3 linked regions of the Drosophila melanogaster genome follow. The protein of the gene in region 3 interacts with the protein of the main gene of each other region in a pairwise test. Each region holds a gene or a part of one and is shown on either strand. Other genes may lie near its edges. The genes, in order: corn, NaCP60E and Dlg5.

Region 1 (6,578 bases), on a different chromosome or scaffold from region 3:
TGGTCCAAATGCGAACCGGAATAGACCGACGAAGACCGGAATGAAATTGAAATGGTGACTAGTGAGCTCTTTGTGAAACTCTCCGGCTTAATTAACAACCCATTGCGTTGGCAATTACGCCAACTACTAAAATTATTTGTCATATGGCGGAGAAAGTAGAGATTGCGGCCTGATCTCCAACGCGGCGTTCGGATACTATGGCCTATGGCTGGTCTTCGTTGGTCTTTTAACAGTTTGGGTATCAAAGAAAATGGCTCTTTACGACATGCCATAATACACATAGTTTTCATACCAATGCGAGTAGAAACAATGAGTGGTGTACTTCACGCTCTGCAAAGTTTTTCAGCGGCATGCGCCACACGACACTCCGCTGCCAAAAGTGGCCTAAAGGGGGTGGAAGAGGGGCGGGGCGGTCTTGACCATTGACCAGCAACGCTCAGAGTTGAGCTTGACTGGAGGCAATCCATAAAGCCGAGCCAAAGCCATGAAAGCACACCGCAAAAAATGTATGCCTTATCAACGTAATTCTCAGTAATGCTAAACTCAAATCGATATATATGGCTAAGTAATGACTTTCAATATATTTTTAGACTTTTAATTACTTTGATATGATAACAATATACTCTCACTGTAGATAAGTGTCTGTATTTTCGATATAAGAAAAGTGAACTGTAGATATACATACAACCAAACCATTAGAATAGAACACCCATACAAATTCAATTTTTTCTCGCAGTGCATGCAACGCCGAAAGCGGCACAGACAAAGCGAATGGAATGGAAAGCATCTGGAGACGCCTGAAAGTCTCGCCTGAGAGCCTCGCTCATTGTCAACGCGCGTCTCGAGTGTGTCTTGGCAAGGTTCCAGTCCAGGCCGGGTTTTCGTCTCCAGAAGCGTTCTCTCAAGGCATAAACCTCTGAAATGGTATAGCCGAATGGCCATTGTCTGGAGAAAGACGAGATGATGAGGCTGCAGCTTGAATTCAGCTCTGTTTGCCCTCGTTTATCGTGTTTCCATGGGGTTGCCAAATCACAAACGAGGCGAATCTGGCCATTCAACTGACCTTGAAAACCAACCCAGACATGTGTTCGCTTATGAGTCCGTTACTGATTATAAACAATGCAACATTTGAACAAGGGGTACCAAGCGGAGTGTGGTGTGTCGCCAAAAACAGGCTCAAATCAGTGAGCTGCTAAATTTCGCACACTTCAAAAACTTGTTTATCATAAATTACGGCCATTGTTATTGAGATACCCGCTAATCGGGCACATTTGTATATGTATATCAGGGGAAACACATTGAAAATGCAATGTGTTATTATCTTTTGGGATAGGGGGCAGGCCAGCCAAAGTGGTAAGAAGTGCTAAAGCTGAAAAGTGCTGATAACTCCTATCGCCAATTGGTGTGTGGGAAAGCGAAATGTGTCACACGATTTGTTCGACGAGTGGAAAGTACAAGAACGGTGGCTTGCTTGCTTCTAGCGGCTCTTGCACCGGAAACTGCACTAATTGATGCTTAATTAGCGATTTCCTCAGCTCACTCTCCATTACGACATCCCCCACTTCAAGTCGCCAAGTTGTCGCATTATGGAGTAACGGCTAACATGTCCGCTGCTCCATCAACCGGGGCGCTTATGAATATGGTAAACGCCATTTAAGCAGGCCGGAAAAATGGTAGCATATACCAATTATTAATTCAAGGAAATGGGAATCGATTGAGCACATTGATACTATTTACTTGACAAATGTATATACTTTTCTAAGTAAACTTAAAACGCAATTGCTTGCCTAAATCCATGCAAACATTAAGTATTACCAAACTTTTTAAGCAAAAAGTTTGGTTTTTGCTACATTTCCCTTTGTATCTTTAATGCAAAAACGTCATGCTGACCTCCATTTTGCAGCATAACTTTTTGCAGTGTGTCAAGTTGTGACTGTTTGACTGACTGAGTGACGGACTGACATTAAATTGCACTCTTCCTGATTGCTTCGTCGCTTCAAAATCGATTATCGCCGAAGTCATGCAACTGAAATTATATTCACCGCTTGCCACATCCATATATGTATGTACATATGTACATACGTATATACGCTTTTACATACAAAGTTAACGCTGCATAATGAAGCGGACTACGTGGCTAGGATACAAAATCCGGAAGCCCCTCAGTCCGGCGGTCCTGACCTTTTTAATTTCAGCTAAAAACCAAAGCCGCACGACGCCAACACACCTCTGACCCACCACAACCACCCTCTCGCCCACACGACGATGTGGCTTCAACATAAGACGCAGCTCATATTCGATAACCACTTTCTACCCGCCAATGAGTTACAGTGGAGATTGGGTAAGCTTAACTTTTATCCTGATACAAAAAACAAAATATTTGCTTAAATTTGGCTTGTTACATAAGCAAAACTTTCATTTTCTTCGTAAAGAAAATTAATTGTACTTAAATGCTATGGAAAAACTATAAAATTTTACACGTAAGAGCCATTTGCCTTTCCCCCATATCCCACATCCATTATAAAAAAATATAAAAAGGACATTAAGATTTGTTAATCGATTTCAATTTAAAACTGACATTAACAAACAAAAAAACGATGTATCAGTTGGTATTAGTAAACTTTCTAAGACCAAGTGAAGGCAATTTCTAATCAGTTTGTGCTCAAAGCGATATTCTCTGCAATTTAACTTAGAACTCGCAGAATGTTCTACTTAGTGGCGTTCCACTGTAGCTACTCACCCACGGAGCTGGAGTTGAAGGAGGAAAACTGTGCCAGCGGTTGAGGAGGTTGAGGCTGCTGCTGGAGTTTCGTTCGTTGATTCGCTCGTTTGCTGTTTTGTTTGTTTGTTTGTCGGATTGTTGCTGTCTTTGTCGCTCAGTTGTTGTTCCTTTGGTGGGCGACGATGGAAATGTCAGAGGGTCGCGGTATTGGTATTACGGCCTCCCAGGGCATTCTCTTTTCGCTTGAGTTTTGATTTTTTTTTTTGCTTTGCCTGATAATTCTATTATTGCTCTCGCTCTCTTGGGGGGGAGTGCAAAATAATGGATGGCAATTCGCGGACGGAAATTTGCGAATTTAGCGCGTCGCTTCAATTTTGTGCAAATTGAATGCACAAACACTGAGAAGTGGAGAGAAATTACTAACTTCGGCGTTCTCCCTGTCTCCCACACACACACATACACGTGCACGCGCGAAATTTCGTGACAGCTGCAGCTGGAGAAGAAGAAGAGCATGAATGATCGCTCAAGGACTCGGTATCGTCCTGCCGTTTCCTCTCTCTCTTTCTCTCTCTGGTTCACTTCCTTTTGTTGTTCCGTTTACCTAACACAACGGCTTATTTGTATTGTCAGGACCAACTCACACACACGCACATACACGTACACTAGCGCACTGCAGCTGAGCCCAAAGGAAAAATCGATGATGAATCTGCGAATTAAAAGTCTATAGCCGCACATCGATTAATCTGCAGCTGAAGCGAGTCGCTTTAATTTAGTTTTTCAGCCTTGTTTTTGCTGCTTACGAGGAAAAAGACAGCAAGGCTTCGTTGAAAAACCCGTTCGGCGCGCAGGAAAGTCGGAAAAACGAAAATCGTATAGCGGCTTGGTAACAAAACGCGCCCACTCGCGGAAAACAACAAGTTTAAATATTAATTAAATCGATTTATATTTACTAAATCATAATATACATCGCTATTACTTCATGTAGGCGAGCAGAAGCACACTCCACGTCGAATTTATTGTTCGTTTGCTTAAAAAATCAGTTTCAATTGCCGCAACTCCGTTGGCATTAAAGTTATAACGATGTTTCTTTAATAATATTTTTTAATGGTAACCGAAAAAACAGCGCGCGCTGCTGCGCTCTCCCGAAAAATTACAGAGAGAATGCGTTGCGAGCTGCTTATATAGATTTTTAAAATATCAGAGAAACCAAATGATGGTAATGTAAAAATACCAAAGCCGGGAAATCGCGTTTTAACAGTCTGTTAACAGTCTGGCGTATCACACTGTTAATTCTCTTCAGCGGTTAAATGTATCTATTGGATGCGCCAAATATATCTTATCCATATTAACAGCTATTTTGATTAAGAAAACTTAGACTCGTTTAGTTTTATTTAAAATTTTTTAATAGTTTTGAATTATTATACCTTTTGTCGATTTTTAAATATAAGTAAACGTAAGGAATGATTTTAACCGCTTGTGGTTAAGACTGCATATTTTGGCGGGCACAATTCAAAAGCAATCATGAAAATACCACAATAAAAATACTAGTCTCAAGCGGTAATGTCTTATACGTAGTCTTATACCTTAAAATTAAATAGCAGTTCTGTAAAATATTTAACCGTTTAGTATTTCTAAAATAATGTGCTAAACCTGATTTATGCAATTATTAAGATCCCAAAACATTTTCAAAAAATTGTGTAAATTTCTTAATACTTTATATTCTTAAAATTTTCGATGATTTAAAACGATAAAATAATTGTTTTAAAATTACACACTTGGACGAAATTCAAAATTAAAATTATATCAAAATAATGTCATATTTCACAAAATCGTAAAAAATAATAAAAGGTATGCTTATAAAAATACGCAGAATATTTATAATGCATATAATATGCAGAAATACAAAAGTAAGAAGAATTTCGCAAAAATATGAAATATGTTTGAGGTTACGTTCGGCAATGAAATTATGTAACATTAAAAACACGTGATCAATGGAAGTAATTTCCCAAAAACCCATGAATGCGATTTGGTTAAAAATAGCTCAGATGACGTCACATTTATCGTGTGGTTTGTATGAGTATGTGACTGATAAAGAAAGGCAAATGTTTACAGTCCGAAAGTCGCGATTAGCTTGGCGCCAAAGTTGCCTATAAAAGCTCATCGACCGAATGCCGCAGAAGCCAGTCAAATTCAAGTGTTCAAGTGAAGCAGTCGAAACATAAGCAACAGATTCCGCAGCAGTTATATCCAGTTCAGAGAAACAGTAGTTAATCAGTAATTAAAGTGTTGAGTGAATTTCTTATCGGGTCAGTTGTAAACTAGTGCAAAAATGTCGCAATCCGATAACGTGGCACGTGAGCAAACTGCGGCAAATGCAGGGCCGGATGCATGTCAAGGATGCCGCGGCCAATTGCCAAATGCCACGCCCGTGGAAGTCGAGGACATGGCCTTGCCGTCGATGGAGCGTCTCATTCGAAAGGCCAACATGGCCCAGAAAATGCTGAACGATGTGATGAAACAGATCCAGAAGCAGCAGCAGCAGGAATCTCAACTCTCCATCAAGGAGACCAAGTCCAAGCACCGCAGCTCCGATGGAGGTAAACGACGACACAGAGGACGCAAACATCATAGTCATAGTCATCACACTAGCTCATCTTCCAGTTCCAGTTCCGACCACAGTGACTGCGAGCTGATCCTGGCGGAGAAGGAGGGGCACATGCCGCGGAGAAGACACACGCGAGATGACCGCAAGCGGGATCGTTCCCGGTCTCGCGGTCGCTCCCGTGGTCACTCGCGTGGTCGTTCTCATGGGCGTTCTCGTTCCAGGTCCTACACCGATTCCCGACGATCTCGAGCACTACCCCTGGCTCTGCCCGTTCGGATTTCAGTGTGAGTATCTGGCTTCATTCAGTATTATTCAATATTCATTTTATATATTAAGTGCGCATAAAAAAACCAAAAAAAAAAAAATAATAAAATATATAAAATATGAAAAAAATATTCAAATGAATTCTTTTTAATGGAGGGTGGGCTTATCTTTATTTTGGGTGCAAATAATACATACTGTTCAGGTATTCAAGATAATAAGTTACATTCGTTGATGAAATGCTGATTTAATTTAGCATTCATATTTACCAAAGTTGTGAAATATTTGAACCATTTTTCTGAGAAAATAAAGTTCAAAGTTTTGGAACTGTAAAAAGAAGTTTTTATCTTACCTCCATCAGCCGATTAACAAATAAACAATCGTTTGTTATTTTTAAATATTTCTTATATTTTTTAAATGCCGTTTGTTTTTACATTAATAGTTTTTATTTTGTAGTTGTTGTGCTAATTATATGTTAAACATAAAAATTGTTTCTCCCTCTCGTATAATTACTCGGTTTGTTCTCGTTTTGATTGTGATCTATTAAGTTAATTTCATCTTTTGATTTGTAGACTTTGCTGTGAGTTTGCTCCTTGCAGTCGCAACTTTTCTGTTGTTCTTAATAAATTCGTAAAATTCGATGTTAAATGTAATAAACCATTTCATTGCTTCGTACAAATAAATGCATATAAAAACCGACTAAAATCGCGTTAATCGCTATATAAACAAAGAGTGCTGCTGGCTCGTAAATTTTCGATTTTGTTTTTTGCTTTTATTTCAAATGAGACACTAAAGAATTATGCTGTCTGGCTCGGGTTGGAATAAATTTTACCCAAGTGAACACCTTAATCTGCGACTTTATTTTGTGATTTCTGTGGCTCTAATTGGTATGTTCATATTTAGTGGCTGCTATTTACTCGCTTTTCATGGCTTGCATTATTTATTGTATATCCGTAATTTAAGAGAGCTTTGTCTAAAAACAAATTTTGG
Region 2 (6,330 bases), on a different chromosome or scaffold from region 3:
GCCCTGGTGCGGTGTGCGAAAGAACTGGTGAGGATACCAGTCCTGCGACAGGATCTGGTCCATAATGGGAGCGGAGATGGCGCCATCGCTCTTTGTGTCCGCCTTTGGGTAGGCAGCTTGCACCTCGCGACGCAAATAGGCGTGCAGTTCTCGATATAGCGGCATTATCTCCCACACGACCGCCTCCATTTCAGCTTGAAAGTTCTCCGTGTCGTAGTTAAGGTACCACGTGCGCGAGGGCGTCACATGCCCGTTGTAAGTGGCAGCGATCCGGAGAAGCCTAACGTAGCCGATGAACGTGTTCTTGGCCACGTCCTTCTCGTTAATGGCCCTGCGCCAGGCCTTCCAGTTGATGACCAGATCCTCGTATAGCTTGGTGTGCATGTTTTTGTTCATGATCTGCGGGTACATGGCCAGCGAACCACGGGCGGAGCAGTCCTCGTAAGGGCAGACCAGGGGTCCGTTGACAAAGTTATGGATCTGACGTAGAAGGTCCTTGGCCTGCTCGTAGTCCTTTGGCCGCAGTCCCTGCAGCTGCAACTTGGCCATTCGCTGCACGCGCCTACGAAGAAGTGGGTCATTCAATTCAGCCACTGACACAACGCTGAGATTGCCCGCTAAGTCGTAAAATAGTCGATAGGTCTCCGCCTCTACCTCCAGCTTGGAGTTGAGAACCTGTCCGCCCAGAGGTGACTTTCCTTTGGCCGTGAGCTGCACAAAGATCCTGCGGTTCAGACTCCACACGTGGCGCATGCGGTCTTTGGCTCTATCAAGTATCTGCTTGGTAGCCAGTTCATAGCTGGACTGGCCGATTCCGAAGGTCACGGAGAGCAGAAGGATTAGCGATACTCCTAAAAAAGGCAACCGCATTTTGCCTTCGCTGGCTTCCGTTTCGCCTTGATAAGGTTATCGGAGTGCTTTCGAATGCGACTTGGGATTTGCTTCCGACTCTGACGAAAGCTCGAGCAGAACTGAGTCCAGACTGCCAGTCGAGCCGCAGGCTTATCAATCTAAGTCCGGGGCATTGAGCTTATCTGTAATTGGGAAAGAAACCCAGCTAGCGATCTCTCCAAGCAAACGTTGCGTATACGTTACGAGCTTGGCATTATTTATACGCTGAGTGTGCCAGCCCGAGGCGGAAATCGCAGTGGGCACGGCGGGGAAGACATCCTTACACCATAATAGACTGATTAACAGCTGCTGGTTTTGTTAGCCAGTGGCCCATATTCAAGCAAAATCATTTTGACATATTCCTTCCGAAGAAGAGACAGCGGAGGTAGTCCTTTGCCCCGCGGTGCACCAGCGGAGCATTCGGAATTTAAATCGGAGAAATATGGGGAAGTTCGTCGTTCGTGTTGCATGTGGCACGGCATTTGTTTATGCCGGCTGACCTACAAGCAAACGTGAGGGCGCAGGGGGACTCTGCTCACGAAGGCGAGCGTGAGAGCATTTCCCGCACGAGTCCTTTTCGAGAGAATAGGGGGAAGTTCGCGTGTGTATTTTTTCATCGCTCTGCATCGTGGTCGCCCTGCAGATTACGTCAAACGGAAAGGAAACCCGTTAGCCGAGCTCAGTCTCCGACAAACCTTAGAACCGAGCAGTCGCCATGCAAGCGCACGTATTTACAGTGGCCCAGTGTCATAGTGTCCTAGTATGAAGTGAAAAAATCAAGGAATATGGTGAAAAGTGAAAAGTGAAAGGCAGTAAAAAGCCTGAAAGGGCATGGAACATAGCGCGGAACTCGCACCCCTACAGCCGCACAGTGAAGCGCGTTACCATCACAAGTGCATTATTCGGTGCGATGAAAATTCTTCAGCGCCCAAAAATAGAGTGAAATGTGTGCTGCATATTGTTGTTGCTGCTACTGAGTTGCTTAAGGGAGGGGGAGAGGCCACGACGGAAACTAACCTACATTTTCGCGCTCTTTCGCACGCTTTTGCTGACACACACACAGGCACACGTGCGGTGCCAGAGAGGCCACCGTGCTATCTCTTTCGCACTCACCCTTTGGGCCGCGAAAGAAATCAACAGTAAATTGTAATAACACTTCTTAGACTGCCAGTAGGCTTTTGCATGTGTGTGTGTGCGTGTGTCAAACAATGTGCGTGCCCGAAGTTTTTTGCTTTGTTCTGTTTTTGTTGCTGGTTCCGTTTCAACATCCCCACCCACTCACAGTCACATTGTTGCACAGTTGCGACTAAATAAAAATGTAATTAATGTAAAATAAAATCAAATAAAACAGCAGCAGGAGAAAAAACAACTGGATCGGGAATGGTGATTGAGCCAGTGTTGGGAAGTCGATGTTAAAGTGCGAGTGAAGGCGAACGTGTGCAAATGTGCTTTGTGTTCGTGTGTTGCAGGCCCAAGAAAGTAAAATACGAAAATAGAAATAGAAATTGCCGGAGTGCAAACACACAAGCGATTACATAAAGCCCAACTAGCATCCCCAACATCCGACAACTGCAACCAGCGGAGAATAAAAAAAAATTGATGGCCAATGCTTAAAGGTAAAATCGGATATTCATACGCGTGTGCGTGTGTTAGTGTTTGGGGGGAAGTTTGGGTTCCAACGCAACAGCAATGTCCTGGTCATAAATTAGCCCTTGATGTGCACTTAACTAGGTGGCCACACTTTCTCTTCGTTTCGAAGCGCTTCGTTCTGTTCGCACGAAGGAGAGAGCTAAAATGGCGGAAGGGGACCGATAACAAAATTCGTAGCACAACTTTAGGGGCCAACTGGCAAAGCTCTGCCAGCCGCACTTTTATGAGCCAACTTTAAAACCAACCGCTGGTCACGCCCAGAAAGCAGAAACCAGAAACAGAAGCGAGTATCCCCGCCCCAAAGAGAAAGACCCCACCGAACAATTGAAAGCCAACAACACACTGCTTAATGCCTCGAGCGCCGCTCTCATTGTTGTAATAAAAGTGTTTTTGCCGATTTGTGTGTGTCTGGGACAGACCAGCAAATGCAGGTGGATCTCCAATGGCACACGACAGCCCAGCCTCCAGGCGTAATGGCACATCCCTGCCACTGCCAGCGAATTTCCGCCAGCAAACATCACATCAACTGCCATAACGGGGTGTTGGAAACTTAATATTGAATATTTTATGGGCGCCTTCATCTACCGCTTTTCCATTTTTGCTGCCAGTTGCGAGTTGCCAGTTGCTCGCAGACGTGTCAAGAAGTTTGCGAGAAACACAACAGGAAGCGCCGGCCTACACAAGCACCTACACACCCATACACATGCCCATATATGCACAACAATGCCGGGAGCAGCATCAACAAAGCGCTGAGCAATGAGCAGCCCCCGACCCACGCCACAGCCTACGCAAGCTCATTGCTTTTTCGTTGGGCGCCATTTATCAATTCTTGTATCTTACTTGTGTTGTGTGCGTCTGTGGAGAAGATGCTAGATTGTGTGTATGGGTGTGCCCATAATGTTAATTAACTTTATCTCGCTCAAGCTTTAAGTCTTGAAGCGGCACTCATTTCCCGGCCCTCGCCACAATTCGCATTCTTCCCCTTCAGGTGCTTATCTCTTCCGTTACGCACATAACACATACGTTGGCCGAGTGAGTCGTTACGTTGCGTATACGTACTGCACTGGCAGAAAGGTTTTTCTCAGTCTTGAGGAAGTCCCCATTGAGTGCTGACTGCTATCTTTGTTTCACGGAACCAAATCCGTACATTTGTTCCTCTTTTCGATTGTCTTGTATTAATTCACAGTATAGTAGTAGTAGTGAAATAAAAAGGCTTGGTATTTGAAAAAAATTGGCAGAATGAAGAGAAATTATAATCGTATGTGTTCAAAGGACACCTTTTTTTTATTTTAAGGTCATCAATCTGAAGATTTTTTCTGAGTGTGAGCCGCGTGCCTTGGTTCGGGTGCTTTGAGCTGTAGGGGATTAGCGCGCTGCCAATTAACGTTACATGACACGACGCAGAGCAATTGCGGGCAGAGGCGATTTAATTTACTCTCATTCCCCCTACTTGCATAAGCTTAAATCTTTCCACTTACATCAATCTCTTTCTCTCGTTTAGAAAACATACGCATCGCATCGCAAAATGTAAAGCAATAATCAGCACAACAAAGCCAAAGCTCACAATAGAAGTAGACGACCAGGCTGAGCAACTGAGCTGGGACGATGCCAAATGCCATTATTGGAAACGGTCGTAGTCATAAGATTTGCATAGTATAGCAATAGCAGCAGACATCATGAAAGCCCCAAGCGTGATAAGCACAGCAACAATAGCAACAGCAATAGTAGATACTAGGCACAACATGGTTAACAAAGGGAACGGTGACAATATAATCGGTAAACTGAGCGATCGACTCGCTTGAATAGTGAGATAGACATATGCCCAGTGTTCGAAAATCGAGTGAGAAGCCTGGCAAAAGAGAGCGCGACCAAGGCATGCAGCTGCCCTAAGGACCTCGCCCAGGACGACGACGACGACGGAGTCGAAGGACCAAGAAGCAACCGCAACCAGAGGCAGCACCCAACAAAACGACGACAATCAGTCAAGATGAGTGATGATCAAGCGACGTTCAACGATGAGAAAGGTGAGTCCCCTAACCGCTAAGCCCTCCTGATACTGCTATTGATAGTTTTCTAAGCCACCCGGCCTCATAAATATTATTCCCGATGTGACCAGGGGGGAGTTGGGTAACCGGGAGGCCATCAAATCTGTATGCGGGAGTATGCATGGTCAGGGGGCAGGTGTCACAGGGCAGGACTTCTGCTCCTTCTCCTTCCTCAATCAGGTCCTCCGACATCCTGACAGCGACACCTGCACGCCAACCAAAAGAAAGACGTGCACAGTGGTTCTGCACACACAGAAGTCTTTTGACTGGAGTTGCACGACTTCTTTCCATAGAGAGCAAGTTTGTTTTATTTTTTACAATTTTATTAATTTCTCGGCCTATTTAAGTTCACTTCTGCATATTTTTATCCCTGAAACCAACAATTGGCTTAAGAATAAACTAGCAGGTCAAGTTATGAGCTCAAAGATTGACATTCTTCAACAGCCACCCACAGTGCCATATAAAAGGCAGTTGGGGTGGGGGGACCAAAGGCATTTCCTTTTTGTGCGTGTTGAGCGTTTTCCTGCCACTTCCCGAACTCCTGTCCTGCTGTCCGGTCCTGCTCATCAACATAATTAAATAGCATTGCTCATTGTGTGCCGGTTGTGCCTTGGATACGGGGCATGTGCTTGGGTCTGGGGCACTTGGGTCCTGTGTCCTGGGTCTTGGCCAATAAAACGAAAATGGAATCGAACCAGCTTAATGGCGGGGCAGAGTGACCCTAAGGCCGTTTAAATAAATGATAAACAAATCGAAAATGGGAAGCGCTTTTGTCGGACCGAAAAGTTTCGGCTGATGACTGGCCATAAGTTACGCAATCGTTTTTGCAGGCGCCGATAGAGAGCGCCATTTGTCCTTACAGCAGGAGTGAGTGGGTGGGCCTTGGGTTGATAAGTGGGCGCAGGGCGCCATTGTCAGCGGAGTATATTCACTGGGGAGGTGAACAATGCACAAAGGCCAGCAGGCGCTGCCATCTGCGGATTACGAATATGAACGGAAACGGAAACTAATTAAATATGTAGAGCAATTGTTGCTGCATCTCGCTTTATCCTACCGATTCACTTTTTCACTTTTGTTTGTCCCGCATCACTGCAGCCAGTGTTTCGGTTTCTCCTTCGGCTCGGCTTGGGCTGGGGCTTGGACCGACCACCTTCCTTTCCGCCTTGCCAGTCTCGAATTGGATTTGGTTTTTGGCCAGGGCCAGGAAGCAGTCGAGAGCAAGCGCCCCAACTGCGAGGGGCGTAATTGCCCTACCCCCTAAGCCTCCGCTCCGAGTCCAAATCCCAATCCCATTTCAATTTCCATTCCCATTCCCGTCACCATTGAACTTGCTCAAAGGTCTGCGCAGCTGCAACTGCAACAGAGGCAGCAATGCCAGTTGCAACTGCAACAATGGCTGCACTTTAAACAACAAACTTTGAAAGTTAAACCAGGAAATCCGAAGCAAAGCATGCAGTACATAAGGAGTATCAAGAGAGCACCATAATATAGCAGAAAATCGAATTGACTTTTTCAAGACTTTCCCCACAATTCTAAAACTGTTGCCCACAATCTCGTGAATCACTTGTAGCACACCTTTTTCTCTCTGTGTGTGGATGCAACTGGTTTTTTGGGAAAACCACGACATTGCACGTCGCTAGTTGCTTTTAGTTTCTGTATCGGTGTGCAATTTCCTTTTTGTTTTTGGGCGCTTTGAGAATGACTTTGCTTCCGCGTGAAGATGCGACGGCAGGTCTGGAGTTTC
Region 3 (6,584 bases):
TCGGCTTTTGGTTAATCTCCTCGGCAGTCACACCGTATAGCGAATGCCTCGGATGTGTGGGATAACTAGTGTTGGGCATTCCATTGGGTGGTCCGGGGGGAAACAGTGCCGAGACTCCCGAGCTCACCGGATTAGAATTGCGGTTTGGATGCGTCTTTATAGCTCCTCCGTTCGATCCCCGAATGTGGGCCAGTGGCTTGGACATTTGCGGGGGCAGCGGTGGAGGCAACTGATCCTGGATCAACGCTGCTGGCTGCTTTTCTGGCACTCCAACCTCGCCCATCAGCTCGTCATCCTTGTCCACATTTATGGGACCGGCTGTAAAAAGCGACATCAGAGCACGCTTCTTCTCATTGCCGCGCATGGTGCCCGTTGGGTTTTCATGCGAGATGTTGGTCCGCGGCCAGGTACCCATGCTCTTGGAGGCCTCTTTCTCCTTCTTGGTCCGCTTCTTGCGGTTGAACAGATTCTCCTTGCTCTTCTCAGAGCTGTTTTCACTGAGCACAGAATCCAAAGCAGCGATGGCGTCGTCGTGCTCCTGCTCAAAGTTATCCTCTGGTGTGCCTGGTTTGCTGAACTTAAGCTTTCGGAAGAAAAATTCCGCGAACCTGGACGGATGTTTGGTGGCGCTACTGGGCCCACTTCCTCCACCTCCCCCGGCACTTGAGACATGCTGCATGGAGTCAATGGAATCTGTCTGCGCCGACGAGGTGGTCATTCCCGGGGGTAACTGATCCTGTACGTATTTAAGGGCAAACAGATTGAGCCCATCGCTTCGGGGATCATTCATCAACTGCATCACTTCCTCGATTGACTGCACTGAGTCCATAGACTTGTTGTTAATGCTTAACACTCGGTCGCCAACGTCCAGCTCTGGTTCGTAGAAGGCTAGCGAATTTTGCTCGATCTTTGCAATGAACACTCCCATGTCCAGTTGCAGGCCATGCGGGCAATCCCTATCCCTAGTCTTTAGCTGAACAGAATAGGCGTGCCGTTTGCTGTGACGAGTTCGGGAAACGAGCAGGAGGGAACGAGGAGCACAGGCGCGGATCTCATCAAGAACCATCCGTTTCGACAAAGACTGGCAGTCCAAGTTGTTCACCTTGCAGATCACATCGTTAATCTTGAGCTTCCCGCAGGCGGGGGAACTGCTGGTAACGCCACACACTAATTTTCGCTTGTTGCTGTCATCCAGGATGATGCCCAGGTCGGACGTGTGCTCGTAGCCGGACAGCTCTACTTCCAGGAGATCCTCACCTTCGTAACTGCTTGGGCGGAAACTGCGTCGGGATCCGGAGGCGTTACTGTCAAGATTTTGGCGCTCTTGCTGCTCCATTTGTTCTTTCAACAAGTCGATCTTTTTCTGCGCTTCGTCCTTCTGCTTTTTAATCTTTTCGCTATCCCGGATGGCCATCAGCGAGTCGGAGATGGCTTTATCTCTCTCGTGGCGCATTTTATCACAGAGCGTCTTCACCGAATCCCGCTCCTGCACGATCTTCTCACGTTGCGATATGGCCCAATCCCTTACGCGCTTCGCTTCTTCGGCATCCTGGCTTGAACGCTCCACCTCCGAGAGGGCCTTTTCTAAGCTCTTGCGCAGCTTTTCCAGTTCCTTGCTGTTCTCCAGCTCCTTTCCACTCGGAAATTCTTTGGACCACGAGCTATCGCGAGACTTTAGAAGATCGCGCTTTTTAAGGTCCGCATTGGCCAGCTGTAGAACCTTGATTTCAGCCCTGGCAAGCTGTTCGTCCTTTTTGAGCCTCTCAATTTCTTTGTTGGCCAGAACCAGATCGTCGGACATCTTCTGGTGCTCCTGCAGCACGTTGTCCTTCTCTGAGAGCAGTTGATTAAGCTCCTCGGTAAGGGAAAGCACATTCTTACTCTCCTGGGAGAGAAGAACCTTCAGTTTCTGATTTTCATCGCCTCGCTCCCGGTAGTAGTTGCGATCCTTTTCAAGCTCGATGTAGGACTTCTTGTACTTCTCCCTCTCCACGGCGACCATATTTCGCTCTTTCTTCAGTTCGGCCAGCTTCTCACTGCAGCTTCCATCGCATCCCTGCGTCTTGCCAAAATAATAAGGATTCCCACTGCCGACTGGCGGCACTTGGCTATTTCCATTCTGGGCCTGCTGGCTCTGTTGGTTTTGGGTCTCCAATAGCAGACGCTTGAAACGGGCGCTCTCCTCCACCATATCGGTGAACTTGTTACGATCGGCCACGTAATGCTCCTGGTACAGAGTTAACTCGGTGGCTAACTCATCGCATCGCCTCTTGGTGTTCGCATGCTGGTGGCGTAGGGTATTTAGCTCCAAAAGTGCGGACTTGTACTGCGCCTGCAGTATATCGTAATTTGCGCCGTTTCCACCAGAAATGCCCGACACGCCCACACCGCTACTGACGCCCTTCGAGGGCCCGTTGTTGTTGGACATGTTGGCAGCTGTGGTGCTGCCGCTGGAATTGGACGGCGGTCGTAGGGTATTATCATAGCCCACATACTCCGAGCTCTCTTCTAAAATTAAAGACGCTATGGGTAGGTACTTTAAATGAATACGGCGTCTTACCTTCCTGGCTACTCGTACTAGTCAGCGATAGATCTCCAGATGCCATCTTCGCCATCACAGCATCTTTAGGTAATACTTAACATAAGGGTATGCTGATGAGTAAAAGTACAAAAGATTAATTAGGTTCGTGCTAAAGTTAAAGTTAAGCGAGGTTCCAGGCTGTCTAACTAATTTGTTTAGCGTAATGCATTCTGCTTTCCAATTGGGGTTTGGTTTTTTCTTTGATATGGAGTTCGTTCATCTTATCCGTTTATTTATTAATTTTTAGAAAATTTATTTTTGGTTTATACAATTTTTTTTTAAACATCCAAAGGTGAGGATTCAAACTTTTACCTTTTAACCTTTTATCTAAAATAAACTGTAACTTTTTGTTAACTTTACTAGTAATACTATTTTGACCATTGCTGTATTTTTTGAAGTGTGCGAGTAAGTATGAAAAGCAAGGCATTGGAAAAACGAAACTTTCACAATTTTTGTGAAACCGCGATTTTCACAATCGAACGAATCGAATTTAAATACAACCGCAATGGGGAATGAGAAAATGGGCGGGAGTGGGCGTGGGTAGGCAGTAGGGAGAATGGGGATAGGTGGCGAAGTGTAGAAAAAAGGGAAGTTACGCAGTTTTTGGTAACTCTTACAAACGGCTATTGCTTGCGAAAATGAAATGTGTGGCAATTAAGCAGTCGAGTTAAAGCATCGAGACTAAGCTAAAGAATTAATTGAAGCAGCCGAGCAGAAAGCGTAAATTAATAGCAACATGTATGCACACACACACACACTTACCGAAACACCAACACACTCGCAGGCGGGCAAAACAAGTTGGCCGAATGAAAGAGAAGAAAAGCTGGCGAACACACAATGGTGGAAAGCACTGCGAGTTATATAAACCCTTTTTTTCCTTGATTGGAGTTTATCTTGGCCCAGCAGCACGCCTATTTGTCCAAAAAATAGGAAAATATAGCGTATTTTCCTTTACATCGAAAATCTTATTACGCACACTCACACACACGCACGCGAACGCAACAGCTGAATGGGCGCGCGAAAGAGAGGGGACGAGCTCCACCCCAATTCCAGCCCTGCGGGAAAGAGAGGGAGAGATGCAACAGGCGGACGTTGAACGGGACAACCGACGACTTTTACCGTTTTCGCTCGCGCATCCGGATTCCGGAAGTTGAGTTTCTTGGATCGTTGGGCGAAAAGTCAACCTCTACGGTGCACGACACTCTTGGAAGAACACTGCGACGAAAGCGATGACGAATGGCCAACGAAAATTGAACGAAATGAAATAAAAAAAAACAACACAACTTCTTCACTAAAACGTCACCAGTGTGACCGCGGAGTGACCGATAAATAATACACTCTGTCTCTTTAGACAATATTAAAATCGATAGTATTGTTTAATATCGATTCATTAGCCCAGCTTTCTTAAAAAACAAATAAATCCCGAATGTAAAATGTACATATAAGATCATTCCTTCTATATCGGAACTGCCGCTCCTCTTTACGAACGGCTGGCAGCGCTGTATATGTGTACTAAGTGGGAGTGTGTACACGCTAAGTTGGCGCGCAATCGTGCTGGAAGTGTCTTCGCTTAGCAATGTTCCAAACCCATTAGAAAACTTGGGAGATTTTAATCAAATATAATGATATTATTACACAATATTTAGTTCAAACCGTTGTTGTTTATTTTGTTCTTTGTAATTTTTAATACTTTTTGCAACTGCTGCACTTTGCGCAAGTTGCACGCACTAACAACCTTTTGGAAAATGGCCAAGCCAGGGCGAGCAAAATTTTTATTCATTAAAAGTAAAATAATACCCAAGAAGTTGGTCAATTTGCAGGGCAAAAGAGATCGAAAAAAGGTAGTCAACGATGCGAGCGCCAAGAAGGTTGCAACTTCCGGCGAAAGCCACATAACTAGTATAATGAGCATCCCGAGTCATAGTACGGATTCCGATGAGCGTATCGCATCCACCGCGCCAAGTGTCTGGAGTACTTCAGTACCCATACCCATTCCTTCCTCCCAACGAGGAATGCCCAAACAGAATGTTCGCAGATCGGTGGTCTCCATAAGCTCGTTACCATCGAAAAAGTCAAGTAGCGCAGTTAAAAGGAAATTATCTTATATAGAAGAACAGCCGTTTCATTTATATAAGCTTAGGAAACTCGAAGCCAGCGCGGAAACTCAGCTTAAAATAGTTCATTCACATCCGCACTTAACTAGTTCTACGGACAGCGTGGAGGAGGCGACCAATCAGAGTGATGGCGATAAAATGGACTCGGAATTGGGAAATACCACGGATCACGAAGACCAAATGAGTGTATCCTCCGACTCGAACATAAGGATGCGCTTTGATATCCTCCAAACCCTCAGGAACATTCCCGATTGGGATGAACTTAGTGATATCGGGACTACAGATCACAATCTGGGCATCGATAAGAAGAGTGTGGAAATGCAGCAGGTGCCGGGCTCGGAACTAGAACAGTTACAGATTCAACTGGCCCGCAAGTCGTTGTCCTCGTCGATGGAAAGCCTCATTCCCAGCGAATCCAATTATGAAGCACCTTCCTCGCAAAACGATGACGATGTGCATGGTACGGAGATACCATCGCCCTCAGGACTAGAATCTGTTGACGAAAGCGATTGGAGATTGCAGGGAATGCAATTCAAATCGAGTCATGTGGCCACTTTTAAGGACATTACATCTGAGTCCAGGTCCTCCACATCTAGCCTCAATTCCATCCCTACGACTTTTTCCATCGGTCAAATGGTCCAAAGCTATCTGGATGGGCTTATTGAGAAAGTTGTGGACATATTCGTTAATACAGACTATTTGCGGTCAAAAAATCTAGACAAAAGTAAGCTAATGAATCGCCTGTTCAAGGAAGTCGAGGATCACCACTGGGTGAGCCACGACAACAATTTACTGACCAAACGACTGACGGAACACCACCTGCGTCGATTTAAGTACTCCCTCGTAACGCCGAGCAGCAGATCCTACATCAACGAATCCCAACGGAGTCGGTACTTGGGTGCCCTAAACGAATTGGATCATTGGCTTAACAGGACACGACAGGCTGAGCAGATGCACCTGGCTGAAAAGGAACGACTGCTGTCGGAATTGGAGCGGATGCAACGAGAGGACAACGAGAAGATCGAGAGGCTGGAGGAGATCTTCAGAAGCACATTACTGCGGGACAGCCAACCGTCTGAACGCCTTCGCTTTGTGAGTCTTCAAAATCGGATTAAAAATTAAACAAAAACACTTTTATTGTTTAATTAGGTAACGGAAACCGCTCTTAAACAAATGAGAGCAAAACGCGATGCGTTGTCTGCGACACGACTGATTTTGATCATAAGGCAGCATGACAATTCCTACATTAAAAAGGTCGAAATTACAAAATAAAAATAAGTTGGCTGACTAAAAAAAAGGGTTTACCCACAGAAAGTCGATGAGATTGAGGCGATTTCTGGGGAAGTCAAATTGGAAACCTATCTGTCCGCGGATAACGACGTTCAGCAGATGGTTACCACTCTAAACAGTGAGTTAAATAAAACGTAACAAGTATCTATCTATTTTAATTTTATTTACAGATAAAAACGCTGAACTGGAACGCATGTGTACGCTGGTGAAAACCAAAATCCATACCATTTCCCATCTGCGATGTCGACGGAAGCTGCTGAATCGCAAGTTCAGGGAGGCCAAAGATGAGTTACGAGAAAGGCAAAAACGGCAAATAGCATTGCGCGATGAAGTATATAATTGTAATCTAACACACAATAAACTTCTTGACCAGATCAAAGAAGTCCGTCGTGAGGGTGGCATTATGTGCTATCCCAAGTTGTTGGCCGATTTTGATCGGACCGAGAAGTTTATTGCCATCAAACAGGCGAGTATTGTGGAACTAAAGACACAACATGACAATTTGCTGAAGAGAATCGAAAAGATCGAACTAAAGATTCTGGAATCTAATAAGAGTGAAATCATGTCTAAGTCGGATTAAGTATGTATGTAAGATGCAG

Evidence for each region.
Region 1: the proteins of Dlg5 (region 3) and corn interact in a two-hybrid assay, tested with the Drosophila melanogaster proteins (one large-scale study listed by BioGRID).
Region 2: the proteins of Dlg5 (region 3) and NaCP60E interact in a two-hybrid assay, tested with the Drosophila melanogaster proteins (one large-scale study listed by BioGRID).

Annotation. Positions count from the first base shown.
Region 1 is NT_037436.4:7,153,196-7,159,773, forward strand, and holds the start of corn (cornetto), read right to left. Parts: upstream 3,879-6,578; 5' UTR 2,741-3,878; intron 1-2,740. Other genes in the region: CG8620 (uncharacterized protein), read left to right, coding at 5,052-5,615.
Region 2 is NT_033778.4:24,890,042-24,896,371, forward strand, and holds the start of NaCP60E (Na channel protein 60E), read left to right. Parts: upstream 1-1,572; 5' UTR 1,573-1,796; intron 1,797-2,242; 5' UTR 2,243-2,507; intron 2,508-4,042; 5' UTR 4,043-4,528; coding exon 4,529-4,565; intron 4,566-6,330. Other genes in the region: Ance-5, read right to left, coding at 1-870. UniProt on the Drosophila melanogaster protein: Mediates the voltage-dependent sodium ion permeability of excitable membranes. Plays a role in processing of olfactory information during the olfactory avoidance response.
Region 3 is NT_033779.5:11,513,166-11,519,749, forward strand, and holds the start of Dlg5 (discs large 5), read right to left. Parts: upstream 3,917-6,584; 5' UTR 3,701-3,916; exon of another isoform or gene 3,637-3,700; 5' UTR 3,558-3,636; exon of another isoform or gene 3,493-3,557; 5' UTR 3,344-3,492; intron 2,653-3,343; 5' UTR 2,616-2,652; coding exon 2,561-2,615; intron 2,509-2,560; coding exon 1-2,508. Other genes in the region: CG4970 (uncharacterized protein), read left to right, coding at 4,327-5,787, 5,845-5,949, 6,007-6,103, 6,156-6,565.